4 linked regions of the Astyanax mexicanus genome follow. Each later gene encodes a partner of the first gene's protein in a complex. Links are inferred from orthologs where the notes say so. Each region holds a gene or a part of one and is shown in the gene's direction. Other genes may lie near its edges.

What was found.
Region 2: gtf2a1 (region 1) and ercc2 share a complex: the UniProt entries of both Homo sapiens proteins name them as parts of the TBP-based Pol II pre-initiation complex. The link is inferred for Astyanax mexicanus from reciprocal best matches to the Homo sapiens genes GTF2A1 and ERCC2.
Region 3: gtf2a1 (region 1) and polr2k share a complex: the UniProt entries of both Homo sapiens proteins name them as parts of the TBP-based Pol II pre-initiation complex. The link is inferred for Astyanax mexicanus from reciprocal best matches to the Homo sapiens genes GTF2A1 and POLR2K.
Region 4: gtf2a1 (region 1) and gtf2e2 share a complex: the UniProt entries of both Homo sapiens proteins name them as parts of the TBP-based Pol II pre-initiation complex. The link is inferred for Astyanax mexicanus from reciprocal best matches to the Homo sapiens genes GTF2A1 and GTF2E2.

What each region holds. Positions count from the first base shown.
Region 1 is NC_064408.1:88,793,994-88,801,058, reverse strand, and holds the start of gtf2a1 (transcription initiation factor IIA subunit 1), read left to right. Parts: upstream 1-4,045; 5' UTR 4,046-4,265; coding exon 4,266-4,295; intron 4,296-5,510; coding exon 5,511-5,612; intron 5,613-6,789; coding exon 6,790-6,943; intron 6,944-7,065. UniProt on the Homo sapiens protein: TFIIA is a component of the transcription machinery of RNA polymerase II and plays an important role in transcriptional activation. TFIIA in a complex with TBP mediates transcriptional activity.
Region 2 is NC_064425.1:16,927,524-16,934,886, forward strand, and holds the start of ercc2 (general transcription and DNA repair factor IIH helicase subunit XPD), read left to right. Parts: upstream 1-4,352; 5' UTR 4,353-4,519; coding exon 4,520-4,524; intron 4,525-4,691; coding exon 4,692-4,791; intron 4,792-5,304; coding exon 5,305-5,382; intron 5,383-5,491; coding exon 5,492-5,554; intron 5,555-5,664; coding exon 5,665-5,778; intron 5,779-6,444; coding exon 6,445-6,561; intron 6,562-6,676; coding exon 6,677-6,793; intron 6,794-7,363. Other genes in the region: zgc:154093 (cdc42 effector protein 3), read left to right, coding at 90-1,061. UniProt on the Homo sapiens protein: ATP-dependent 5'-3' DNA helicase. Component of the general transcription and DNA repair factor IIH (TFIIH) core complex, not absolutely essential for minimal transcription in vitro.
Region 3 is NC_064410.1:32,892,228-32,899,680, forward strand, and holds polr2k (DNA-directed RNA polymerases I, II, and III subunit RPABC4), read left to right. Parts: upstream 1-4,434; 5' UTR 4,435-4,537; intron 4,538-4,851; coding exon 4,852-4,912; intron 4,913-6,487; coding exon 6,488-6,580; intron 6,581-7,175; coding exon 7,176-7,198; 3' UTR 7,199-7,265; downstream 7,266-7,453. Other genes in the region: uncharacterized protein parp10, read right to left, coding at 819-1,055, 3,080-3,251. UniProt on the Homo sapiens protein: DNA-dependent RNA polymerase catalyzes the transcription of DNA into RNA using the four ribonucleoside triphosphates as substrates.
Region 4 is NC_064432.1:19,869,527-19,877,485, forward strand, and holds the start of gtf2e2 (transcription initiation factor IIE subunit beta), read left to right. Parts: upstream 1-4,946; 5' UTR 4,947-4,971; intron 4,972-7,959. Other genes in the region: prom1b (prominin 1 b), read right to left, coding at 1,888-2,170. UniProt on the Homo sapiens protein: Recruits TFIIH to the initiation complex and stimulates the RNA polymerase II C-terminal domain kinase and DNA-dependent ATPase activities of TFIIH. Both TFIIH and TFIIE are required for promoter clearance by RNA polymerase.

The sequences.
Region 1 (7,065 bases):
GAAAGTGCAGATTGTAAACTGTGAATCCATCCACTATTTGTACCATTTGTGGCATCAAAACAGAAAAAAATCAGAATTGTAGGCTGCTCCCTGTAAAAGCATTCCGAATGTTAAAACAAATCATTAAATAACTCACTAATTGCATTGTAATATAACAGCACTCTTCTTGTCTTCTAAAGGTTAACATGCTGCTGAGTTTTGATCTTTGAGATTTAATCCACACCACAATATGTAACACACTGTGTATATGAGCATAGCCTGCTGTTAATACGACACTTAATAAGACACACACAAATTCAGCTCTTGAGTCGAGTTTGTAACTAATGCCAACATGACTCAAGCAGAAGTGTGCATGAGGTTCAGGAAAGGTTTTTAAGTTTCGTTTTTTGTTTCAACTCTCTGCAAGTTTTTAAACCACCACTAATAGAATAGTGATATGTGTCTTGTGTTGTTGACACTTGTCTTTACATGGTATTTGTGTCCAATACTCAGATAGCAATCCCATGCAAAGTAAATCTGCCAATTTTCTCAATGTGCAATCATGACTGCCAAAGAACACGTTCATGACTACCTGTAAATAACTTCACACTCTCTTAGGTAATGAAAAAAACAATGTCATGTCTTTACAATCATTTGTTTCACTTGAGAATTACATACAATGTTTATGTAATGTATTGTCTTCCAGTTGCAATAATAAAGGATCCGTTTTAAAGGGATTTTTTTGTGCAAAATTTCTTTCAATGGTATTAAAATTATTGCTTTACACTTGATGGAAATTTGTACTGTAAATATGCAATACTATACTGTAAAACATTTTACAAGTTCATGACAAGCCTATAACATTTATGAGCAAAGGACAAAAAAGTAGCTAATTGTTAGTAATTGGTTATTTAAAGTAATCTGAGTTGATGCCAGTTTTCTAAATCTGCTTTACTTTAAATGCCCAAAATCCATTGTTGTTACACAACACGGGGTCAATAAACAAGAACGTGCTGATCTTATTTAATCACATGCTACATGCAGTGATGGTGTATCCGAAAAGAACATGTAAATCTACATTAAACCAAACATCCCACCACATCTTCCATTCTCAAATTATGGCTTATAAAACAAAAACAGAGGAAATATTGTGCTTTAATTGCCTAGGTTCAGTCTGCCACTGAACTGCAGCATAAGCACAAGATAGAGGAGCAGTTAATGCTAAAACTAAAGCAGTTTTAAGAAACATGGCATCACAGAGTATTCACCCACACTAAAAACAGTTATTACACACAAGCAGCTCACAAACAACAATTATCAGCTCAGAGTGTGTGTACTCTACACACACACCACAGGAAAATGACTTCACTGCAGAGTTTTAAAGGAACAGTGTTGAAACTCTGCATTAGCTCACAAAGGATATGTTCCAATTGGGTACTTCTAAATAGATTTGAGTATGAAGTATGTAGCATAGATAAAAGTATCAACGTTTAGTATACTCAAATATCCATAGTGGATGTTTAGGTTGTGTAGATTGAAATAGCAACTCTCTTTGCTTCCTGTTAGTACGAAAACAAATTAGTATGGTATTATTCTGTGTATTTCACCTGCTAAATTAACGCCCTGTTCTGATTGGCTGCCTTTTGTCGAGCCTCAGTCTGCTGTTTTGACATGTATAAAGAAGTAGAGACCTAGACCTGAGTAAAAGTACAAGTGCTCTATCAAAAAAGTTATTTGAGGAGAAGTTAAATTTGAAGTATTTTTTAAGCTCCACCCTTAAGGGGAAGTACTAAAATATTCAACAGTTTTTGTGTATAAGTATTGCAAGTAGTTTATAGTAAAATGTTAAACTAAAGTACTGAGTGTAAAAGTACAGTATTGTGTTGTGTAGTTATTACAGAAAGCAGTGGAAAGTTCTCAGAATGAAAGGCAGAACAGGAGCAGTGAGGTCTTCTTATAAGACCTCATCAACATGATCGATTGATTTGCTCAATGATGAGTAGCTTAATCTAACCCGGTGACAGTGCAGATCATCTACCGCTCTGGCTTTAGTGATAATGTGGGTTTGGAATAATTTCTAACATTTATAAAAATGATAAAATAATAAATAATACCCCAGAAGATACAACATTTTAGTATTTATGTACAGTAGCGAATTAAATCTACCGTATTATTAATCTCTGTAAAGGCTGAGTATATACAGTTGTTTCTGAATATGGCTGCAGTTCTTAAAGACTTGAGTGAACAGAGGTCTCAGACTTTAGGGTGAGTGTAGTGAAGTGTGACAGCTGAGGGTCATTCATAATTAAACACACACAGCCCTAATGACCAGACCCCTCTCTGAGCCTTTGCACAAGCAGCAGCACTCTGTTGCTATGGAACCACAGGAGGGATTTTATTTTTTTAAACTGTATGACATCACAATACGCTCACATTGAATATATTGGGTCACCTGACTGTAATGCCCTACCTCCTGCTTTCATATCATTGCATCCTTGCCAACTCATAATCATTTGTGTCCCTGTAAATCTATATAACTATTCTCTTTACTATTCTCTCTTTAAATTTGTTCATGATTGACAGTTTATGTCATGTTGTATTATTTACAGTTTCTGTTCTAGAGAATTTTTTTCAGATGATTTTTTCAGAAAATTGTATTTGTTTGGTATGTTCAGGTATGTTTAGAGGAGTAAAGCATTCGACCCAAAAACACAGCTCTTGTATATTGCACAAAGTGAATAGAATAATGAAGAGGGTCTATTTTCAAATGTTTTAATACAACGTTAATCCATCAGCAACTATGATATATTTGAGAGTAACTTCTGCTCCTTCTATAGCTTAAATTGGCAGTGGTGGCTCAACGGTTAAAGTACTGGGCCAGTGGGCCATCGACTCCTGGGTTTGGCAGGCTGCCACTGTTGGGCCCTTGAGCAAGGCTCTTAACCCTCACTGTTCCCTGATAGCTCCGGATATATGTTCAACAATATCACTGTGTGTTTTCACTAGTGTGTATATGTGTGTTCACTGCACAAATGGGTTAAAGGCAGAGGCTAATTAACTACAATGTGGGACTAATAAGACATGCATTAATATTATTATTAAATACGATTTTCTTGTTTAAATTAACACAGTGCAAAAACAATACAAATCATTACATAATAGCATATTAAATATATTCATATTTCATACATATTCCATCTTTCCATTATGCTTAATTCAACAAATAAATAAATATAGTGTTTAAAATGTGAATAAAATGGCATTTAAATTTGCTGTTTGAAGATTTACTTATTTTGACTTTGAAAGCAAACGTATATCAATTTATGTCATTTCAACATTTGAATAAAACTTTAAAAACAGCATAACTTTGCAGATGGGGTCATTTTTCCACTGATCACACACACACAAACACACACACACATACACAGTCTGCTGCCCTCGTGTGGTGGAATGCAGTTATTATTAATATTGGTTAGATTAAATGTATTAAAAGAGTGTTAAATGGATTATCACTGTTATCCAGTCCTGCGGTCCTATATAATGCACTTTAAATCTAATAGAGAACTTGTGGTAAGGTGTAAGGTTTTTTTTTTATGTATTGCTTACAGTACATCATTTACCAGGGAGCTTAAAACTATTGTTCTGCTGTAGAATTCTATTTTAATTTTGCTGTATTATACGATATTTAACTATGTTTGGTAATTTTGTTATTATGTAAATGTAATATAATATAATATAATAATTATAATCAAATTAATCATCACCAGCACCAATTTTGTTATATATATATAATAATTTGATTTATCTACTGGCTTTATCTCCAGTTAAAAATTATGTGTAAATATATATATATATATATATATATATATATATATATATTACCCCTCTATGCATATTTTGGTAATAAAAAAATAGAAAATAACGTAGTTTTATAAATGTACTAATTCTTTTTAAGCGCCTCCCCCGCCTCTTTCTCTGTGATCCGGGTCCTGTCTCGTGCCTGGCGGTCTCGCGATACCGTGACGCAGGCGAGCTAGCTATTTGACGCATGCGCAGCAGCCTGGCTGTGTGTATAAAGCAGCACGACGGCGGCGGCGAGACGGCGGGGGACGGAGCCCGGGACCCGCGCGCTGATATAGCTTATATACCGAGCTCACGCAGCCCACCGGACAGCGCGCGGCTTCACCTACACACCTTATGCGGGCAGCTGCGGGGCGCGCGACCGCTCGGGTGTAGTTTAATCAGAGCTGCAGCAGCGCGGCGTGTCTGGCGCTCCGCCCGCGGTAATGGCGAGCTCGGCTAACTCTAACCCGGTGGTAAGAACCCGAATCAGAGAGAACGAGGCGAGGGCAGTGAGCAGGCACGAGGGCGTGGAGTGCCCAAAAGCGGTGAACAGAAAGCAGCAGCAGCGCGTGAGAGCGGGGCAGTGTGACCTGCGCGAGCGGGTGTGGAAACCCAGCCCATGCTCGGCCTTCCCTCTAATAAAAAGTGTTAGGCACACGAAATCGGCCATGTTAAGTCCTGTCTCTCTGCAGGCGGGGCTCACAAAGCAGCCCCGCACTACAACTACTACTGCTGGAGTGTGATATATATGTATATATTAGTTACTAACTACTATAAGATTACTGTTATATATTATATATTACAGATAGTGCTGCATTAACAGTGCTATAATAACGTGCGTTGTCTTAGTTTATCTACAGGTTTACTGGGATACTCTCTCTTTGTATTTAACGATAACTAACTGTCATTGTCCGTGTGCTGCTGTTACTCCGAGCTGTGTATATATAACTTACAAAGCCCCAATACTCATATTTTAGGTTTAATTCTGGCTTTGTATCATTTTTTAAAAAGCTGCACCTCCTGTACACTCTACTCTCATTCATCTCCAGCTAACTCTCTCCAACCAAGTCAGGCGATATGATTAAAGTTAGCTTTTTATTGGAATTCTACCGTTCCACCTTAAATCCCGCAGCGCTAACATTCCGGTGCTGTTCAGGCGCCAGACTGTATCCGCTGCAGGATTTAAGGTGGAACGGGGTAAATTCCAGTAAGCTCAGAGAGAGGGAGCCACTCCGCGCTGCAGTTAGTTAGCACTAGCCTCGCTCCTGCGCTCCTCTGACCCTCCCTCCCGAGCAGCCCGGGTTATATACGGCCCCGCGGCCGCTCTAATATCCACCCAGACCGGGATGGGAAGGCGCAACTCCGCGCCACGTCACCGCCGGAGCTTTAAATAGCACGACGGACGGAGGAAGGGAGGGAGACCAGACTAGGACATCAGGGACTGGACACTGTGGGGCTATAGCTCTCGCTCTCTCCATAACCCTCTGCCTGTTCCTGACACCTGCTATTCATCTGTTTAGGCTTATTTTAAATCATTATGGGCCATGCGTTGATTATTATTATTTATTATTATTATGATTATATTGCACTTAATTGAATACTGTGCAAACCGATTGTACAAAAAAAAGAAGAAACTCTATGGTAGTTTAGTATGTATTCATCTGCCTTTAATGATGCTCCCTCTCCAGCCTAAACTCTACAGAAGTGTGATGGAAGATGTGATCAATGAGGTCCGAGAGCTATTCCTGGATGAGGGTGTGGATGAGCAGGTCCTTATGGAGCTCAAAACGGTAAATGAGCTTACCTTTATCTGAAAAGGCCACAAAACATTTTAAGAAGCTGTTCAAATTGTCACTTATTTTATTTTTTTGTGTACACTAGGGCTGCAACTATTGGTCAATATAAATTCATTTTAACTTTGCAGACTACATATTTCATTGTCGACTAATTGTTCATTTGTAACTGTACCACATACACAAAGTGTCTCCAAAGGTGCCAAAACACAACAAATTACATATTTAAACACTAAATATCAGCACTTTCCATTCTTAAACATCATCAGGAATAATAGCTGACTACTCGACTAATCGAAAAAACAATCAGATTAGTCGACTACCAAAATAATCATTAGTTGCAGCCCCAGTGTACACATACAAACCTATATTGTACACACATTGAAAACCCCCCAAATTGTTTTGCTATTTTAATGATTGTTTCAGGATGTGCTGAGAGAATAGTGAAACTCTATTTGTTTTCCTATAAATAGACAGCCATCACTGAATGGTGGAAAGAAGAATGTTGATTGCGGTTAAAGTGATATTACATAAAATAATAATCTAGTTAAATTAGTATTCTATAGGGTTCAGTCAAGCCAGCGCCACTCTGAAGGCAACCAATAAAGTCAAAATGAAGGATGTTTGTTTTAAACTATTATTTACAGTGGGTAGTCAAATATATTTTATCGTTTTGTATTTATAGATATATATATATACTGATATAGATTTTGATATCAGGCATCCATATACTCCTACGCATTAGTCTGGACTAATCAAACCAGTATACAGTGAAGTGTGCGATTAAAAAAAATCATACCCTTAAGCTTGTTCGTTGTTGTACGGATTGTATATTTAACTTATGACGTAATGACTGTGACTTGTTTAAAGTAAAAAAAGTATAAATCATTTATCAATAACTAAGTAATAAATAAAAAAATATATAAATTTGTAAAATGAATAAGGGTCCGGTTGTCTCCAGTCGTGCCCTTTAATGGCTTTTTGTGCTGTGGTTACTAGACCTGAGAAATGCTTCCTTGATCACCAGTGCTGATTCAGCTTTCTCAATCAAATATCTAAATAGTGCTGACTGATGCCTCCTTGAGTCATTGGTGTAACCCTCAACTGTGGCCTGATCAATAACAGTTATGTGATTAAATGTGACCTGCGCTATTGATCCGCTGTTGTGTTGCAGCTGTGGGAGAGTAAGCTGATGCAGTCGAAGGCTGTGGACGGCTTCCACACTGAAGAGCAGGGTGCTCTGCAGGTGCAACAGCAGGTCCAACAGGTTCAGCAGACCCAGCAGCCCAGTCAGCCACAACAAGTTCTCCTGCCACCGGCCCAGCAAGGTCAGAACAACATGTACTTGTACACCTTTACAGTTGAATGACCTTTTTTTTTTTCTTTTTTTTTTTTTATTAGTTTGAAGCTTCTCTACAAAAACGCTTTATTTATTTTAATATAATACAAT
Region 2 (7,363 bases), on another chromosome or scaffold:
CCTGACACCCACTGTTCGTAGCTGCTAGACCCAACAGCTACATCACCACAGCAGAAGTTGGTGTTTCTTTCTGAATTCTGGGAAACAGAATGCCAGCCAAGACGCCCATGTACCTAAAGACATCCACACCCAAGCGGGGTAAAAGATTCAAACTGAGGGATGTTCTCTCTGGCGACATGATCAGCCCTCCTTTGGGGGACGTACGCCACAGCGCCCACGTTGGCCCTGATGGGCAGGGTGACATGTTTGGAGACATTGACTTCCTGCAAGGCAAGCTGGACATGTTGCCTGGTCTAGCCAGACCACCCCACGTCCGCTCAAACAGCATGGACAGGCATTTGGATGGGATTTTTGATGTAACCCCCAAAGGCATAAGCCACACTTATGACTCCCATCGGAATTCCCACCACACCTCTCATCTCAAAAGCACCATCTCTATGCCCATTTTCATCGCCCCAGAACAGCCTCCTCCCAAACCTCCTCGTCTACATTTAGAGGATAACTGCTCCCATGAACACCACCAGCAGCAGCAGCCACAGCAAGAGCAGCAAAAGAACCACCTCAGTCAGAACCAGCAGGAGCAGCAGAAGAATCATCACAATCAGAACCAGCATGAGCTACAAAGGAACCACCACAACCAGAACCAGCAGGAGCAGCAGAAGAACCACCACAACAATCAGCAGCGCTCCATGTCTGTGTGTGAAGAAGCAATGGGCCGCTGTAAAGAGCCCTGCAATGACCTCACTATCTCAGCATCCATCCCCATACTCAGACACCTCATGCCCTCCACCGGCTCTTTCTCTGAGGCCTCCTCAGATGACTCCATGTCCGAGGGCTGTGGGCCGCTTGACCCGAGCCGAGGTCTGAGCCTGGACTCTGATGCTGGCCTGAGTAACGAGGACCTGCGGAGCGACCGCAGTGAGTCGCCGGTGCTCTCGGCTGGCGTGTCCCGTTCTGAGTCTCTTGTCGGTCTGGACCTGGACCTGGGACCCTCCATCTTGGAGGATGTCCTCAGGATCATGGACCGTTACAAGAGTGTGGAGGAGCAGTGCGAGCTGTGAGCTGGAAGCATGCTTTAGACTATGGGTGTCTGTATGGGTGTTTAACTCCATGAGGTTTGTCATTCAAGATGTTTCCGAGAGAGGATTTTCCTGCATAGAAGTGGACAATTTCTTTGAACAGATGGTTTCAGAGAAGCACAGAGATTATGATTTGATAATAACACGTCATCGAATTATAACTGCATCTGTTCTGTTGTAAGAGTCCCTTTAAACTGGAGATGCAGTATGTTAAAGAGTCTTAAACTCTTGATCATTTTATACTTTATTACATTCAATATATAAACCACAGGGAACAAGGTCCTCACAACTTTGTGTTGGTTGTACAGACAGGCCTCAGTCCACCATCCTGTTCAGGACTCTCAAGACACTCTGAGCTGCACACTCCTGCTTTAGACATTTTATTAAGGTTGTACTAGCATGAACTTGCCAAACTCATGAAAGAGCAAGTTCTCAACACACCATAATGACTGATTTTGGATGACAGAATAACTGGGAAATAATACATTTTTGTATTTTGGAATAGTAAATAAGTGATCTCTTGTCAGCGCCAACTAATTACTTCATTAACAGATGGCTTCTCTTTTTAGCGAACTATAGAGCGTATGACTCATCGATAACAAACAAAGGAAACTACATCTGTTCCTGTGTTACAGCCCATGGGAACTGAACAAGTTGAGTATTAAACAGATGTTGTGTTTTGCTTCTAATATATTTCATTACACTCCACATTTCAACAGCATATTAAAGGGAATATGATGTTTACTGTCTTAAAAATGGAACAAATCCATAGTGAAGTTCAGTCAGCTTGTTACTTTCAAAACAATATATGGCTGAAACTAGCCTACAATCTCAGTCACTACATACAGGATTCCTGTTTGAGTTCAGAAAGACAGTTTATTCATCTCAAGAGGGAATTTTATACCACCGTAAAGCTCATAATTGATATGTGTTAAACTGTGAGATGTTGAATCACCACGATCATGTAAATAATATTATAATAAAGGTTATAAATCCAACGCTTTGTTGTTTCTCCTTTATGAATGAAACATCAAGACCAACATTGTGTTCACCTCATTTGTAATCGGTATGGTTTGGTGCTTTGTCTGCATATTCAGTCCAAGGGCAAGATCATCAGGTGTAACCAGTCATCTGACTAAGAGCTGTATGTTGAGTACAAGGATTAAGAAGCAACCAGACAAGTTCATTGCAGATCACTCCTATGTTAGTCATCACCCATTTTAGAGATTACCTTCTGGCTGAATTAAGGCCATTTCATCTGGTTGTACAAGTAGACTGAAGGTTTGTCCACAGTAAATTATCTTGTTTGTGTTCCTGATAATTTGTTATATAGTAAATGTGTAGGGGCAGCAATGGCCTAATTAATTTTTTTCTTCTCAGAAAAGCTGCTGTCACACCACCTCTCATCCGAAAGCAGCTAGAACTTCAGCTGGTGCACCACAGGGCACATCTTAAAACCAGCCTGTGCACCATTTAGCGCATCTTGAAGTAGCTGGCACACAAACACACACCTCAAAGCTGCTGGCACACCAACTGGCACATGCTAAAGCAGCCAGTGTACCAATCAGCACATCAGATAAGCAGTTATTTGGGTGTCAATGGATAAATAATCACCATCCTAAAACAGTTGAAATTTCAACTGATACACCATACAGGACCTGGTCATTTTTAAAGCAGCCATAATTTCAGGCACATCTAAAAAGCAGTCTGTACTTCTTTAAACAGCGGGACATCCTTTTTGTGGCAGAAGTAGGAAACCCAACAGGGTTTGAGCCAAAGGACTAGAGCCCTATTTTGCTTCATATCAGTGTACAGGTAAATAATTACAGATGCTAAAAACGTATTTTAAGCAATGCTGTACAAGAGGGAGAAATTTCACAATACAAAAAAAGACATTAAATCACTAGAACCTTTGTAAAAAACAAAATCCATGTTTGTTCACGTTGTTAAAACTGATCTTATGTAAAGAACAACTTCCTGATTCAAATTATGTCAAAAAGTAAAAACGTGACAAAATGAAGAGTCTTTTCAAAGTCTTTTCATGTGAAATTAACACCAGTTTTAGAGAAGTGATATATCTAAAACTAGCCAAACATAATCAGGGTTTGCCAGAACTGCTTTAGGTGACAGGGTTCAAATTCATTGATTAGGTCAATAAGACGTAATTAATCGACACCTAAGAGGTAGTCATGTGTTTGTTTTTCTTTATTGCTGTTATGATTGTATCTTAGCGCTTTTCAGTACATTCATGCATGACGCGCATTTTTGTGCGCTTTTACGCATCTGGTGCGTTTTTACGCATTTTGTGCGCTTTTACGCATCTAGTGCGTTTTACGCACTTTGTGCGCTTTTACGTATTTAGTCCGTTTTATAGGTCTGGTGCGTTTTAAAATATGGTGTGCCAGAAATGGTATACCTGAAGTAAACTCAATGGAAAATGTCTTTTTTGTCTCTCTGTGCTGTAACTTGTTGACAAACGTGTCGTTTTACCACCAACAAGCAGCGCTATTAGTTATAACTACTGCGTTATTATCTTCCCATAAATCCCTAAAATTGTTTTTGGAAATTTTATAATCGATTAAGGTAATAACATTGAATTGAAATTTGCGTTAATTTTCCCATCGCTAATGCACTGAAATCAATAATATTTATATTTGTATTTGTGGGAAGTATATTTTAACATAAAACCACTAATGTTAGTATGGATTTCAGAGCCCCAACCTTTTAAAACCTTTAAATGAACGTTGATTTATTGTCAGAATTTTAACACTAACTTTCTTTCTTTACTATCAGGAGCTATTTGTCCAAAAAACAAAGTTTTTTTCTTTTATTTTATTCATTTTAGGGGTGTATATTTATGGCACAAAAATGTACTTATAGAAACAGAAAAACAAAAAAAAAACGAAAAAAGATTAATACATTAAAGCATAAAGTTAGAGTAACCTAAGCAGCAGAAATTCTTATTTACAAGAAAATCGTATTTTTCATTATTAGAAAAAATAGACCCTGCTATTTAAAGTCAAATTTAAGTCAGATTTAAGTGGATTTATTTGACAGAACATTATATTTTGATGTTCTTTTTTTTACTGACTTTTAATTTGTTTTGGTTTTGAACCTTTATTATGATGTTCAGATCGGTCTGACCGAGCGGAAAGGAAGGCGGGGTTTGCCGCGGTGGTGTTTTGATTGACAGGTGAATTGTCCAATCAGATGGTTGTTTAATAAGCGTTGACAGCAGTTCAACCAATCCTAGCTGCAAAACAGAGCGTACGAGTTTTAGACGCGACGGCGTGCAGACAGGGGGCTGTTAGCTGGTGTACAGGGTAGTGAGTTGTTTGGTAATTATGTGGATATTATTTTAATGTTATTTCGCCACTGTTGGAGCGAGATATACACGTTCAGAGAGGAAACAGAGTCACGGCGTTCTGCCACCAGCAAACATGAAGTGAGTTACATTAACTAATTCTACCGTTATTAAGCTAACTTAGCTAAACTAACGGGTTACAAAAGAAGTGTCTCGGTGCTTTTTCCTTAAATACCTTTACTTCATCCCACCACAGAAATAACCAGGTCATGTATTTAATATATTCCTGATTTTGATGTTTCCTGCAGGTTGAACATTGAAGGGCTGTTAGTCTATTTCCCTTATGACTACATTTATCCAGAACAGTACTCCTACATGCTGGAGCTCAAGAGGACCCTGGACGCCAAGGTATCTAAAGTTGTGTCAAGCCACCTGCTCCAGAGACTGAATATGCAAAATAAACACGATTTATCCAGCTCTTATAAACTAATATACACCAGAAACACACAACTACCTGTGTGTAGAAAAAAGTAACATTCAGAAAATGTTTGGCGTCCTATAAAATAAGCTTTTCTGTAAATTAATGCTAATGAAGAAGATGGAATATTACATCAAAGCTCATTCCAAGACTAATCAAACATGGCATAATTCTAAGAAAAGACACTTAATTCTCATAGTAAAAGCTGACAGGCTCAGACGCACAGTATGCAGACCCGTTTTACCTTTCTTAAGCAGTCATATTGTGCACAACCCCTGAGAGCTGCTTGCTTTGTTAGCTGTGAAACAAAAGGACCTTGTGGCCACACCTTAATAGATACTATTATCTATTATCTTATTACCTTAATAGATGTGCCTTATTAAGGTAAACACTGTATATTTTTGCATTATATAGCAAGGACCTGCTCTGCTTTCTGTCCTTAGGGCCATGGAGTTCTGGAGATGCCCTCAGGAACGGGAAAAACCATCTCTCTTCTGTCTCTTATTGTAGCATATCAGAAAGTGAGGCTCTGTGCTACTTTTTAATTAATTGTTTATCCAAAAATTAAGAATGTGAGCTTGTTTGGCTTAACAAGCAAGTAAAGAAAGGTCTTTTAAACTCTACCTGCAGGCCTACCCTCTCGAGGTGACCAAGCTGATCTACTGCTCCCGAACCGTGCCTGAGATTGAGAAGGTAATGAACGGCACCTTATGCAATGCAGTTGTACATTAATGAGTGACCGTGTGCACTGAGTGTATTGTGCATGTGCATTATCTGCATTTAGAAGGCGTTTTTTCTTTAAGGTGGTTGAGGAACTGAGGAAACTGATGGAATTCTATACCAAAGAAACAGGAGAGAAAAACAACTTCCTTGCACTGGCGCTTTCTTCAAGAAAGAATCTGTGCATTCATCCTGAAGTAAGTGTCTCTTTGCTGCCATATATGACGGATTAGAAAGTGTCATTACATTAATGCGCTTTGGGCTGTGTAAAGCCTTTTTAGTCGTACAATGGGATAGATTTTCAGAGTTACATAGCATTTCTACCTTAAAGTAACAGGTTATATTTAGGACTAGTAGGTTAATCTGATTAATTGGATTAATTGAAAAACTATTTTAATGCGTTTTCCAAAGTAGCATAATTAAGATTGAGAGTCTTGGTAAATTACTGTTTATGAATAATTTCTGAACAAAAAAGTTCACAGATTTTCTTTTTGTTTCTGTTGAATATCTTAATCTGATGTATCTAATCACTGCAGAAACTGCACAATTTAACTTTGTGAAGCAGGCAGAATAAGGCTTGTGAAAAATCTTACTACTGCTTATCTTAAGTCATATTTGTGTAAAATCCTGTTATATTACTTTACCTTTTCACATGCCTGTTCTCAGCATTTCTCAGCTTGTAAAATGTTGTGTGTACCACAAGGGGGAATGAGCTCAAAGTGTGATTTGTCTTTACTGTAGTGAATTACACTCTTCACCTGTTTGGGGAGCCCATGAGTAAAATAACACAGTCACAGAATGCTGCTTTAATCATTGATTATGCTCTTTATATAATCCAGCTTGATCCTTGCCTCTGTTTACAGGTGAGCTCTTTGCGCTTCGGAAAGGAGGTAGATGGAAAATGTCACAGTCTGACAGCATCGTATATTCGAGCCCAGCATCACAGTAATCCAAGTCAACCTGTCTGCCGCTTTTATGAGGTAAACTTAAACACTGAGTCTTCAGCTTGCTTTAAGTTAAGTTTTTTTCCTTTGCTTAGAAATCTTTTTCCCCCCACAATGTTTTATATTTTTTTAAATACTCCACTATGTGCAGGAGTTTGATGCCGTGGGCAGACAGGTGCCAATTCCTTCTGGAATTTATAATCTAGATGACCTTAAAGACTTTGGGCGCAAAAAAGGCTGGTGCCCATACTACCTAGCACGCTACTCTGTAAGTATCTTTAAAGAAAAATCTTGTTTGTTGTGAAGCTTTGTATCAGATGTAACGAGAGGTAGAGAGGAGTAATATGAGGAGTGTGGTAGTGGACTGAATAAACAACTTTGTTTAAATGTTTTTAACGTATTAGTTTTAATGTTTCTGACACTTGTAATTTAAAGAGAAATATTGACAGATGTAAACACAAGTGTAAATAGATTGATTGAGGAAGAGTAAATGTGATTATATATTAATTAATTTAGGGATATTGTAGCTACAGTGAGTTTTGTAATTTAATATGAAAAGAGATTTTTTTTAAAAGAACAAGTTTTTATTCAAATTGCCATTGGCAGACTGCCTCTAATGCCACAGCAGTGAAGCTGTGCAAATCTGGCTACTAATGAGGGTTAAAGGTTTACACACATACAGCAGAGGAATAAAGTCAATTTAAAGATTGATCTTGGGTTAACAAAATGTTTGCGTGTTATTTAAATGATCATTTAAATTATCTTTTATTAAATGTAAACAAACCTTGTGTAATCTTTTCATGATCATTTTACCTAACTGATAATAAATATGTTTTGC
Region 3 (7,453 bases), on another chromosome or scaffold:
AACAAGTATCTCAGACTGCTTTCATTAAGTTTACAAAACAACCTAAAAGACCAGAAGCAACACAGATTTATTAAGCTGGATATCTAGTAAGGGTGTAGTCACATTAGGTACGGTTTGGTTGAATAATGCTAGAGCACGAGGTTCTGCCCCCTCCCCGCTCTCCCGCCAGCCTGCACTCACACTGCGTTTAAACAATCCGTGCCAGAGCACGCTTACAACATTAATCACTGCTTAGTGGGCTTGACAATATTGTGCTGTATTCCACATCCCCACCATGAAAAGCACCCTCTCTCAGGAGTGCCTCTTCTTGATAAATGCAGAGATAATCCGCTTTAACTTACTTAGAAATATGCGCCAAAATCATGGTTATCCTAGTCACCCGAGATGGGGTGCTTTTTTTGGCGGGGGAGCTAAACACTGAATTACTGACGTCATCCTGTTCCGTGCTCATGCACGAATCGCACTCACACTACATGTGCTGTTTAAACAATACAAGTGCAGTAAACTGTGTATTGGCAAGAACTTGGTGACACAATACATATTACAATACAGTGGGGTTACAATTCAATATATAGCAATATTGTATTGTAAACTGAAACAGAATGATCTACACTGGGTTACCCAAGAGCATCTTAGTCTGAAGATAATTAATAAACTAATATTAAATTATTAAACTTATTAAATGTTATCCGAGCACCACACTTACCACACACACCACACTCACTCTTACTGTCTACTAGTTAAATTATCTTTATCATTTATTCCAAATTAAAAGCAGTAACAGCAACAACCTGGGAGTTACAATATTAGCTACTCACCCTCAGTCAGGGGGTTTCGGAGGTGAATCAGGACCAGGTCCCGTCCAGGTGAGGGGTACAGAGAGAACTCGTCGGTTCCAGTTAGATTCTCCACAAACAACTCCACCATGTCAAGGACTGTGTTGGGAGAAAGCCCCCGAAGCACAAACTTCCCATGATCCTTTGAAGGTTTCTTCCGCACGGTCAGTTGGCTATTGCTTATTGAATGAGAGGCTTTGGACAAGACTCTGGCAGCAACTAGCCGAAAAAAAAAAAACACAATTTACTGCTGTAACTATCACGATGTATGCTTTCACTTAGGTTACATAGTAGAAGGTTAGATGTAGCAACCTAATAATAGCAGCAACCTAATAATAACTGTCTTGTTTTTGATCAGAATAATATAATTTCCAACAAATAACAGTTCAAACTGGTGTTTAAATATGTATAATATCTGAAATATCTAAACTTAATCTAACTTGAAGAGCAAAATATTTGGATGACATTAGACTTAAACACTCTTCACTAATAACTTAATGGTACTGCTATTGTAACCTCTATTTGTTATATATCTCTGTAAATCTGATTCAGGTCTTCTCCCAGTTTTAATGTTTATGTATTGCCTTGCAGAGATATACACACCAATCATTAGATACGGATAACGACCCACAATTCCCATATTACTATTGCTTTTTTATTTAGCAAAATAACACCAATTTTTGCTACTTTGTAATATTCTATATCTTATAAGATGTGACTATATATTAGAAAGATTTAAAAAGTCAAAAAATAAGAAATATCATTTTGTGTGTTTAACCCTTTATTGTATCTATTTACTAATGTTTCTAGCTTTAGATGTTGTTTAGTTGTTAGTTTTGAGGGTGGGCACAACTTTGTAATATTTTGTTTTGGGGGAAATAGCTTGTATCTGTGTATAATCAGAGCCATGTAGAATCAAAATAATAAACACGTTATGTGTCATACTGAATCTTGATCTCAGAAACTAAACTCATCACACAATACATTTGAAAATGTGCATCATTAAACCTGTAGTAATTAAAAATATAGTAAAATAATATATAAAAATAGAGTTAAATGAAAACGCTAGTTCCTAACTTTGAAGCGTTCAATATAAAAACAGAACTTAATCCGAGTAACCTTATTCCCTTTATAATGCTACCATTTACCTTCATCAATGACAGATAATCAGCTAAATTAACACTTCTTTTTTCATTAATGCTATGCTATTCCCATTATTAAATCTACACTTTTTCTTTTATTAATGGCAGCATATTGCCTTTATTAATGAGAGTGTATTGTCTAAATTAATATTAATTAGTTACATCCTTCAATGACAGCTCATTATCTGTACTCATAATACCTTTTACCTTCAGTATAATAACCTTTACTAATGACCAAAGGTGTCAAAAGTATTTACATTCATTATTTGGGTTAAAGTATAGAAACTAGGGTTTAAAATGCTCCAGTAGAAGTTCAATTCAGTTCAAGCTTTTCACTCAAATAAAAGTAATGCTTTAAAAACTACTTAAAGTAAAAAAATAAAGTAATGTAAGGGGGGAAATGCCATTAAGGACAAAAACTTATGCCCCACCCACCCATAATAACTAGAATGTCATAAAAAATGTTTCAGCTGAATATGTGCCCATTGAAAATAAATGCATTCTAGTACAATGCATATATATTAAAGAAGATCTTGATACTAGGCTACATTTGCATGCTATTTTTCTTGCATGAGTGTAGTGTGATGTGTGCAGGTGTGATAGATTGTAAATAAACCAATAGGGTGTGAGAATGGTATATGTTTATACTTTTCATCCAACCACAATTAGATTTACTCTATCCGAATTTTCTCTGACTTATTAAAAGGTAGAATAAAAACAAGCTGTAATGAAATAGGAGTAATGAGGGTATTTTTAAAATGTAAGGATTAAAAAGTATAGATCATTGCATAAAAATGTAAGAAGTAGAAGTAAAAGGTTGTCTGAATAATAATTACCAGTAAAGTATAACCAAATGTAAGGTAAAAAATTATTTGTACTTCCTTACTTGACATATCTGCTAATGACAACTTATTACAATTAATAATGTTAGCTTTTAACCTTTATAACATCTACCTTAACTAATACTGTTACCTTATTGATTAAATTAATGCCACTTTTCTACCTTTATGAATGTTTCCTTTTTGTTTTTGCTTGATTAATGGTTTAGTATGCAGTGAAAGTAAATGTTATTAATATTTTTCAGGCATTAGGTTTTCTTACCCTCAGCTTTTTCAAACTCCAGCAGGGCTCGGTCTCCATTTCTGTCCAGTGAAATCACGGTTCCTCCTCCTGACCGCTTGTTTTCAAAGTACAGCGATAGGAATTCGTCGTCCACATCGTCTGGGATTCCCAGAACCTCCAAGATTCTGTCCTCCGGGTTACCATCAGCCATCCTGATCAGCAGGAAAGACTGCATTCACTACAGCGAAGTGCTGCTGCGCTTCCTTAAGCACAGGCTTCAGAGCTTCTTCTACTGACTATCCAAAGTCCATCATCACAGTCCTCCTCCTCCAAATCACCAAACACCAAGCTCTTATTAACTACGTGCACAGAACTGTCCTTAACCAAGTGCTCATGAGTATATGAGAATATTATCCTGTAAAAACACTGAACTGATGAGCCGCTGTTAAAGATAAGTATCTATCTGGTCGTTAGGAAGAAACGAAAACACCGCAGAACTCGACCGAGTGTTTGTGCATTAAATCGCCATTTTTTAAATCTGTTCGTGCTGGGATTCAGAATAAAGACATAATCAGATGATCTGAATAAACGCTCGCCTCGCCTCGCCCTTTTCTCACCCTGTTCACATTTATTATTCAGTTCTAATGAAGAGAAACTGAAACCACGAGCGGCCCATAATCACACAACTCTTAAACGCGCAGTCTTATTCTACACAAACACGAAGCGCGGTCAGTTTTACCTCAAATAACAGTTTAAATGCATAAAATCTGTGTTCATAATGTCAAAATATTCGTTTCAATCAATAATATCCCATATTTACATCCCTGGACTCACCTGCAGTCTTTCTGCTTGGGTTCAGATCATGACGCAGAATAATACTTCCTGTTTCTGTCTTTCTTTTACTGGTTTATTACTTAATGTTTATTTAATTCATTTAATTCTTTTTTTTATTTCAATCCAGCCTGAACATCAGCTAAAGTATTTTTCTTTTAATAAAAAACACAGACAAATATAAAAACAATTGTATAAAAGGCTGTTTTAGTACCAATATGTTTGTAATATAAAAGTGTATGTGTTCGAAACTATGATAAAATAAAACATATTTAGGTGTTAATATATGTGTTATATTATGTGCTTAGTATGATTTAGAACATTCATATTGCCATGAAAATCCCCTGTAAAAAAACTATATGGCATAAAATAATATAAAATATCTAGCTTAGCCTACTTATCAGCATATGTATTCCACTTGTATTAATATATAAGAAATATTATGCAATTCAGTTTAATTTAATTAATTTATTTTTCGAAACATTTAGTTTTATATATAAAACAAATAAATAAATAAAAGTCCTTCTAAAACAACAGGTGACTTAATCGACCAATCACAGCGTTGGAAACTGACCACCAATCACACAGCCGTTTTTTAGGTAGTTAGCGGAGGAGAGGTGCGCATGCGTAGTCTGTTCAGTAGCGTAGAGCTAACGCACGTTAGAGGTAAGTTAGCAATCAACTCTCTCTCTTTTAATTATATATAGATTTATAAAATGATTGATACAAAATAATAGAGCTGCAGTATAATTAATGTACGATACTTACAAACATTTTTGTATAGTTCATTGATCTCACTGCATTGTTTATTTAGTGTCTCACGCTGAAGTTACTGCTAGCATGCTAACGCTAGGTAGCTATAGGTTAGTCGTCTCCGTGGTTTGTGTGGTATTGTGCCCGCGTGGATCTCATAATCTCGTTTTAAAAAAAATTAAACTTTGATGGATTAATCATTGATTAATTGTGTTTTCTTTTTGCAGATGGATCCACAGAAAGATATGCAGCCCCCCAAACAGCAGCCCATGATCTATATCTGCGGAGGTAACTTAACTAAGTTAACTAGCTAGCTAACACGTGTCTCTTGTTTCTGTCGGGGAATATGAGATATAGGGATGGACAATATGATTATGATTATATTTTATGTTACTATAAATTCCGTAGTAGTGTCCCTTTTGTTAGCGTATTTCCAGCCAACATTCCCAGCCTATTTCCCTAGTTAGACTTCTCATACGGGCTCTACATGGGTTTTCTGCGTTGTAATTTTAGGACCCTTACTAGCATAAATAATACCAGATTTGTAACAAAAGTCATTGATCCAGAATATCATGATACTTATAATGCATGCCAAATATCTTCATATATCCAAAATTTAAAGAAAAGATACTGGACAGATAAAATCGTTTTCAAGTAGATATATAATGGGAAATGAGAAGTGTGAATTTTTCTTTTTGCTAAAAACAGCAAAAAAAAGTACTACCCTGATGTGATATGGTTTGATATGTTAGGTTATAATATTGTTCACGATATTCAAAAATGTTAGTGATATCACATACGATTCAATATGGCACACCCTTACTCCCAACTAAACATTAAATAGAACTGTCGCACCTTTTTCTTTCTCTCCATTGCAGTTTTGCATGCCATATGAATACAAGTTACATTCATCTATATGCGGCGGTCGCTTCCTCAGATACAGTGACCACTTGCGCACTACATTTAGGCTCCTTTGTCTGTCTCAGTGACTTTAGGAGTTACGCTTTGGTGCAAAAGGATTATTTAAGCTCTGCCTGGGCTTAAACCCTACAGTGTTTCTGCCCTTCAAGAGTTTTAAGCACAAATAAGCAACGCACAGTTTGGCACACATAGTACCTGCAATACAGATTCTAAAGCTATGCTATATTCAAAAACTGCACATAGTAATAAATTTACATTTATATGTACATTTGAGTGTCTGCTTTTCTCTCCATCATCAAGATTTACTGATACTGGAATTAAAATATAATGCTCAGTAAAATTCTGCATTCTAACAATGTTATTAGCCATATAATCTTCAACTACTCCACAGAGACGTAAATGAATAAATGTCAAAGTAATGCATTTTTCTAAAATTATTAACCCAGATGTTGGGAGTTGATTTATTTTAGAGCATTAAGTGTAGCTGTGCATTTTTATATAAACATCTGCTTAAATCTGCAAATACTTTTGTATTATGAAAAAACATAATCACAGTTTAACAATACAGTAAACAGTAATTTGACAGTGGTTGGTCTATATGTGAAAAACATACTCTACTCCAGTACTTTTTTGCGCCTATATTGGTTGCTGATGCATTATTTGCTAATGCTGTAATGGAAAAAAAACACAATTATTAAATGACATACTTTTAAATGACACTCAACTCCTTTACCTTAATCGAAGATAAATAGGCACCTTCTGCCCACACTATTTTGATTTAATATATTAAATGGTAAATTAGTTTTTTTTACATATTTATTTATTACTGCTTTGATATTGTCTGCAACAAGGTAATGTCACTCTTTGTATTGGCTCCAAAAAATGTCCTTGCATGAGCAATTTCGAGTAAACTTATACAATCATATTTTGTTTGTTTTACAGAATGTCACACAGAGAATGAGATTAAAGCCAGAGACCCCATCAGATGCCGAGAGTGTGGCTACAGAATCATGTACAAGAAGAGGACAAAGAGATGTATCCTTTCTGGGAAATCCCTAAGTTCTTGTGCTTGTGCACTGATGAATAACATCGCTATTAGTCAGGCCAGGGTGGTTTCTGGATGTAGTGATCCCTTAGGCTGCACTACTTTAGGCTCCTTTGTCTGTGTCTGTGACTGTAGGAGTTACGTTATAGTGCAAAAGCACTCCTAAAACTCTTTCTGGGTTTTGACTATTTTGTGTCTCTGCCTAAGAGTTTTAGACACAGAGTATATAGGTCATTTAGGACACTATGTGGATCACACAGTTGCGTGTTGCATCCAGTATTGCAATTGAATGTATTAAATGAAAGTGTTGCTAGGGGCAACAGTGTGCTGTTTGTGAAGTGCCTTCTATGTTTAGGTGAGGGGGGAGGGGCAGGGACATTTAGAGTTTAGATCAAAGAAAAGGAGTGTTTTGTTCCCATGAGCACTTTTTTTTTTTTTTTTTTCCGGGAATATATAAGGCACTTCCATTTAGATTATTATTATTATTATTACTATTACTATTATTATTATAATTTATATGTTTATGTGCATGCAGGGACGTCCTCTACTGGTGTGAAGTCTTATTTCCTTAACTCCAGCTTTCAGTGGTTGTGTTCGATGCACGATGAGCTGGAAACTGTCCTTCTGAACAGACTGTGAATAGGTTTTTTTTTTTTTTTTTTTTTTTTTTGGAAACTCAAATTTTCCTCACCATTTTAAATGGAACATGTAAATACGTGCATATAGTTTGATTGTTAGAAATAGAAATACAGCTTTGTTTATAAAAAAAAGTCTTTGTGTGGTTCTTTGTTGGTGGTTTTAAGTTATTCCTTACTCCTTTTTGACTGAAGATTTCTTTTTCTTGGTACTGCATTAAAAAATAA
Region 4 (7,959 bases), on another chromosome or scaffold:
GGGCAGATCGGCTAATTGATTAGGCAGCAGGGACTTACCACTGCAATCCTATTCTCCCCTAAACACACACATTTACACACACAAGCTCCATTCTGTAGCTCCATATAAACAACTGCTCCACAAAAAAACACCTGCTTAACCACCTGACCTGAAACCCAGAGAAAACAACTCCATCTGTGATTTAAAAAAAATAAAAATATATACATTGTTATTCACTCTCCTGTCCTTTAACTTTTCCCTTTTATTGTATGAAAAGATAAATCAAAGTGTTACAGGTGCTATTGTAAAAGTTCTACACAACCAAACAACAAAACACACACACAGTAGTCTTGAGAGTCCTAACCACTCAATCATCACTGCCCCTGTGATCCATGTGCAATTTACAACCCACATAGCGTCCATGTTTAACCCCTACTGGTCCCCTCACGAACCCTGATGGGTCACTAACATCCACATGTGGGCCAACATGGACCCTGTGGACAAAATTCATGAGCTACCCACCCCTTTGCCATGCGCAGCTCATACAGACCCCACATGGGCACTTGGTCACTGTTACCAAGGTTGTGGGTTTGATACCAGGGGGGTATTGGTACACTATACTTTTTGGCCCTTGAGCTGCCGTGATGGATTGCTGCCCACTGCTCTGAACACATATAAGTTATAATTACGAGATACTAACTCATCATTTTGAGATACTAACTTATAATTATGAGGAACTATGTCATAGTAATGAGATACTAAGTCATAATTACGAAGAACAAACTCATCGTTATTAGATAAGTCATAACTTTAAGATACTTAATCATAATTATGAGGAACTAAGTAATTATTATGAGATACTAAATCATAATTTTGAGATATTTATAATTATGAATAACTAAGCCATAACAACAAGATACTAGGTCATAATTAGGAGGAACTAACTCATTATTATGAGAAGTCATAACTTTGAGATACTAACTTATAATTATGAGGAACTGAGTCATCATAACGAGATACTCAGTCATAATAATGTCATAATAATGAGATACCTACTGGTACTGGTCATTATTATGAGACAGCAATTCACAATAATGACCAAGTATCTCATTATAATGACTATGCATTTCATAATTATACATTATGACATAGTTTCTCATAATTATAGTTTCTTATTATTATGACTTATAATCTCATTATTATGACTAAGTATTTCATTATTATGATTTACTGGACGACTCTTTCTTTCAGGAACTCTTAGTGGTGTAGCACAGCATAGTCACCAAGGCCTGGAATTGAACCCCAGTCTCCCACATGGAAGCTCACTTGCATGCAGTGGTGTTATCCACTGAACCACACCAACCACTAACCACTAAAATTATCAACATACTTAAAATAAAAAATTCAAACATTGACACAAGTGACAATGAAGTGTAATTACCAGAATTGGAAACAGCATTACTGTTACGGAATTTAAAAATGTCAAATAACAACATTCAAAGAACATCCAGAAAACTTTACAGATTAAACTGTCTAAGAACATTAACTCCCTGCAAAAAAATCCAGTTCAAGACCAGCTGGGCTACCAGAAAAAAATATACTCTATTCTGGTGGGCTATTGATCAGATAGGTATTTTATCAGTAACGTTTAGAAAATGTTCTACTAACCAAAAACTGTAAGCTAGATAAACAATTTTAAAGAGTTTAAATTAACTCTGATACAGTAAGTTATTTGAGTTAGTTGATTTTGCTGTGCACAGCTGCACCACGCCCCCTTCCACATCTGCACTCCCCACTCTACCAGCAGAATGCAAAATCAGAATGCAGCGTGATTGCGTTCACACTGTTATCTTTATTTTGAATCAATTGAATGCTATCAACTAGAATTCGGATCGAACGCTCGCTCACCTTTGGGGAAGGGGTTGGGCTGCACGGCGTACAGCAGAGCGTGCACCATGTGGAACAGCAGACCGATGGGTCCGGGCTCGTAGTACGCGTGCGTCTCGTACACCACGGACGGGACGTAGCCGAAGTCCAGCACCTCAGCCGCGTGCGCCCGGTGCGTGTCCGCGCGCGCAGGGGCTCCGGTGGAGGCGGAATTCTTCTGCTGCTGCTGCCGATCCTCGCGCGCCCAACTGCACGAGCCCCCGCAGTAAAACAGCAGCAGCGCGAGCCGCGTTTTCCACAGCATCGCGAGCGGCTCTTACAGAGGAAGACCCCCCTAAAATAAACCGGATTCAATTAAAGCGAATTGATAAATGAATTAGGAATCCGAACCGGAGCAAAACCTCAGCACAGCTTAGATCAGATCCTCGCGTTCTTTCCCCGAATTCCACATAAAAAACAGGAGGAATAAAAGCTCCAGTATGAATTCAGGCGCGCGCCGGTTCCGCAGGACTCATCCTCCGTTATCTTCCACACTATCTCTCCTCCTTCTGCTGCTCGCGCGCCCAGGATACACCGCCGCTCCTGCTGGAGCGCGTGCGCGGGACTGTAGCCCGTCGAGTGTGTGTGTGTGTGTGTGTGTGTGTGTGTCATCACGCATGCGTAAATACACTATACCACTTTATTTTTAAATAGCATAGTAGTATTAACCTCATCAGACCTGGACTTTCTCCTACCTATGTGGGATTAGTAGTACCTAACAAGTATAAATATAAACTTTGTCTTTATACAGGAAGTTATTTTTGCAAAAAAACAATGCCTGCAATTCACAATTTTTTACGAATAATTTTATTGTAGCTTCCTATTATTACTAAATATTTGTCAAAAAAAGCATGACATATTAAGCCAGCCATGTTATTGTACTACACAAAGTACTGTCTCCAAAAGTGCCCAAATTTAGCATATTTTCACATTTAAGCATATTTTGCCCATTTAAAAATCCCACATTCATTTTTTTTGTTTGTTTCATTAGAAAGCAATAAAGGGGATGGCAGAAATAACCGTTGACTAATCAAGTAATCAGCTAATTAAAAAAAACAGTTAAATTAACTTTCAGACACCAAATAATGCAAAGAAAACAAGATCAATTTCTGAAAGAGTTTAGAGTTCAGAAATCAATTTTTGGTAGAATAATTCTGGTTTTTAATCACAGTTTTCATGCATCTTGGCATGTTCTTCTCCACCAGTCTTACACACTGCTCTTGAATAACTTTATGCCACTCCTGGTGCAAAAATTCAAGCAGTTCAGTTTGGTTTGATGGCTTGTGATCATCCATCTTCCTCTTGATTATATTCCAGAGGATTTCAATTTTGTAAAATCAAGAAAAAACATCTTTAATAAGTGGTCGATTATTTTTTTTCAGAGATGTATATAAACACAAAAGATATTCTAGACTGGGACTTTTTACTGTATATAAAGTATTTGTACTTTATAAACAGAACCTGAATGAACAGCTTATTCACTCGCATACCTGTTCTGTCCAAGTGAGGGTATGGGCTGCCCTTTCCCTCCTCTAAACACAAAGAGCTGTGATCTAATGCACAGACTGAGCCCCTTCGCCCCCGTCCCCCCAGTCCCGCCTGGCTGGGCTCATGTTTCTCTCAGTATAATAAGACTGCATCTGTAACAATCCCCTGACTTAAACACCATTCAGATCGCCCTCTCAGCACAGAGCTGAGCCAGCCGGGCCGGATCAGTCTGCCTTCCATGACTGTAGGAACGGTTTAATCCTCAAGAAATTTGACCTTTCTTGTAAATATGGACATTTTAAATGAGATTACAAATCATAGGAAATAAAAGAAATACTGATTGCAAACAAAATACACATTTACCCATCCTAGATGCCTCCGAGCACAGAGAAGTTAATGCCTCTTCTGGACATGGTTACCATGGTTACGAAGTTTTAAGTGGTGTTTATGAATGTAACTCTGTATTGTAGTGCTTGAAGATTGGCTAAAGTAATCCCTTGCCCATGTGGTCATATTTTATATATCTTTTGCTAAAATAGAGACAGCTTTGCACATCTTGTCTGGATTTTCTCAGGTAGAGTCACCTGGTATTCAGGATTCAGGAACAGCTGTGCTGAACTCGTCAAGAGTTCATTACTTGATTTTTTTTGAGTGCATCAGTTGTAAAGTTGTGAAGAGGTAGAGTTGGTATACAGTGAATATACCTATTTGAGTAATGTTCTAATCCATGTTATGGCAAAAACTACTTGACTAGGTAAAAATAAAAAAATACTTTAAGGAATAAAGGTCAGTAAATCTGAAACATTTCAAGAACTTTGACCAAAGACCATTCAAAACGTTGAAACTGGTTCTCATCAGGACTGCCCCAGGAAAGGAAGAGCAAGAGTTACCTCTGTAGCACAGGATAAGATCATCAGAGTTACCAGCCTCAGAAAATGCAGGTTTACAGCACCCCAGATAAAAACACTTGAGAGAATTTTTGTTTGTTTAACACTTTTAAGTTACTGCATGATTTCTTATGTGTTCCTTCATAGTCTGGATAAAAATAAAAAAAAACATTGAATGAGAAGGTGTGTTTAAACTTTTGGTACTGTTCATTAATTGGACCTCCTGGGTTTAAAGGAGAAGGTGGGGGGTCAAGGCCTTAATGCTACCTCCTTGAAATTAGTTTTTGCAGGGTGTCTGTCTGGTGTCGTCTGAGGGATGGAGATCACAAGCTTAGGCTTGTGCTTGTACGTCTTTATGTTTCAGGGCTGAAGGTGCAGCATTGGACGTTGCTGTTTTTACAAAAGAGATGCATGCATCTCAGTTTCACCATTTAACTTTTGACACAGTATGATATGAACATACATATGGATAAAGTGCAGAATGTTAGATTTAACCTAATAAACTCTTTGTGTGTAGTTCATGAATAGCTATCTAACCATCCACACATCTGCTTCTTTCTGCTTCTTTCAGATCAGGGTCGCAGTGGGTTCAGAATCTACCCGGAATCATTTGGCACGAGGCAGGAATACACACCCTGGACAAGGTACCAGTCCATCACACTACCTACTATTTTGGATTGGACCAAACAAGGTAGGTGTAAAATCCTTTCTTAGGTGTAATAAAAGTTAAAGGGCACATGTACCACTTTTTGTATGTATTATTTATGCTTGTTTTATGCTTTAAAGACAAAGTAATCTTTAATTTTAACATGGCCAACCTCTCAAGATCCCTTCAAATTAAACAGGCTGGTCCCATCAGGGGTGACACATTTTTAAACACCTAATTTTACCTACAAAAGTGACTTAATTCAATTACTATTTTAGAGACAGTTCAGACAATTTATCACCAACAATGAGTTCATGGGAGTTCATGCATTTTACTTATTTTTTGATGAATACGCCACTGTTACTCAAAGTAAATAAGGCAATTCTTACTCCTAATGTTTCACTGTTTAATTGAACATGCATTTAACTTGGCCTAGGGTTCATTTTGAGGGCGCATATTGAAAAAAAAAAATAGGTTTCAGCAAAAGCTGGATATTGTGAAATGGCAGTGGGCCTGACGATTCCTTCTCCAGGTTTACTTGCATGCGGTGAGTTTTAGAGGTAGGTGTATTCTCCTTTCAATCATGTAAAATTTATTATTTTATGAAGCAATAGAAACAGCACTGTATGGACTAATATTTTATGTTAAATGTGGGGGGGGGGGGGGGGCGGGGGCACATGGTGGGTAAGATCCATCTGTGATCAATGAGTCTGGGTCCACTGCAGCCTCAGCTTTCTGTTCTTGGCAGACAGAAATGGAACCCGATGTGGGTCTTCTGCTGGCACACTTTAATTTGACAGAGATAGGCTGTCCAAAACGCTTGTAATGCTTTGAAAGTACTACATAACCTCATATTTAAAAAAGAAAGTCCTTAAAATTCTGAATGTTTCCCGAAACCTTTTATAACTAGTACTTAAATTCTTTCATAAGTTTGGAGACTAAGAGAAATCAGTACTGTACCATCACCTTTCTGTAGCAGCACCATGCTGCCTCACGATTGAATAACTGCTTAAAAAGTAGATGTACGGGTGTTTCTAATGTATTGGTAATACATATAATAACTTGCTCAGTCTGTGTGTAAGAGACCTCTTTCAGAAAAACGCACAGATCGGATCAGAGTCAAAAATCCCTGGAGTTTAGCAGGCATGATAACAGCTCAGCTACACACACAATCTCTCCCTTTATATGTAAGCTGGGATTAGATAAGTCCCACGCTTCAGGAATCAGGACTGATTTGATCTGTGCTGCAGGTAAAATATAAGTGCATTGCTTTGTCTCTCTCACACACACACATTCAAAAACATATATACACATTTTTTTATTCCGCATAGTTCCCAGCTTAATCTTGGTACATTAAGCTGTTAATAATCAACTTTTTTAATAAACCCAAAATGCTAAATACTGATGGTTAGAATTAACGCTGAAAGACAAGCAGTGTAGTAGTGTACCTCTTGTTACAAGATTAATGACTGCTAGACATGAAAAAATAAGGAAAACATCTGGAATATAATCAAGAGGAAGACGGATGATCACAAGCCATCAAACTGAGCTGAACTGCTTTATTTTTTTTCTATCCAAAAGCAGTGTGTAAGACTGGTGGAGGAGAACTTGCCAAGATGCATAAAAACTGTGAAAAAAAGTGATTTTACAAAATATTTTTAAGATTTCTGAACTTCAGAGAAACTGATTCAGAAACTATAGTTGTCTCAAATGCATCACAGAGGCATGTAAAGCAGTCAACAATCTCTTACCAAGAGGTACACTACCCAAAGGTTGCCACTTTTGTACAAAGACCCAGTGTCTAATCATATCTCATCTGTAATCATTTTTGCGATAACCCAGTATGTTTTTTTGGTGAAAAGAGAAATTAGGAAATAGTGTTTCATCTTCTACCTAATGAAGATCTGCTTATCTTCTGCTGTATAAATTTACGAGTGTACACCCAGCTTATTACTGTATGTGTATGAAAATATGTCTCTTGAGGTATGTATGCTATGTATTGTTCAATAATACTGTCACAGAGTGCAAGTAATAATATATGATGATATGACAGGCCCATGAGCATGTATTGTACGAAATGTTCGGTAGAGGAGATCTGCTTACATCTTTAACTCCATGTGGACCAAAACTGCCTTTCTGGACCGAAACCATGGCAACATGCTGCATAGCAACAATCAGTGCACACACAGACATCATTCTAGAATTAGGAGTATCCACCCCCCCCCCCCCCCCCCAATAAATCAATCTTTATTAAATCGATATTTAAAAATTATGCTACACTAATTAAACATATTTGTCACTATTTAAAATGCTGTGTATTTTAGGCAAAATGTATAGACAAAATATTAATAAACTAATAATTTTTTAATTATTATTGTACATGTAAAGATTGGTGTCATACTTTTGTTCATAGTGATGTGTTTAAACCCATCCAATAGAAAGCATTCTAGTTGTTCTATTTGGATGAAAAGTTAACTTTTCTTCTACTCAGATTTTAGAAATATGTTTTTCTTAAACTTAATTTAAACAATCACATTACATCACCCTTCATACAGTATCACAGTACATCATAACCCCTCTATCATGATAGGTTTCATATCGCTAAGTTCTTCCTAATACACAGCCCTACTCTTAACTCTAATATAAAACAGCATTACATCTGCAATATATATATATATGGCTGCAAAATAAGTCAAACTTCTAATCTCATTATTTTGTATAACATTTCTAAGACAAATCAACAGTATTTAAGTTACTTAGTGAATCTCTTAGTTTTTAATAAATTATAATGTGTAAAAAATGAATAAAATCCCTGTCTTTAGACGTGTGGAATCTAGATTGAGCTTAGCACACAGAGTTACATATATAATACTTCTCTCTACCACAAAATCTGTTTGTGACCTAAAGCTTAAGCGTACTTGGGTTCTGCAGCAAGACAATGATCTGAGACACACCAGCAAGTCAAAACGTTTTGGAGTGGCCTAGTCAGTTTTAAATAAAGATTCACTGCCAGTTATCACAAATGCTTAATGG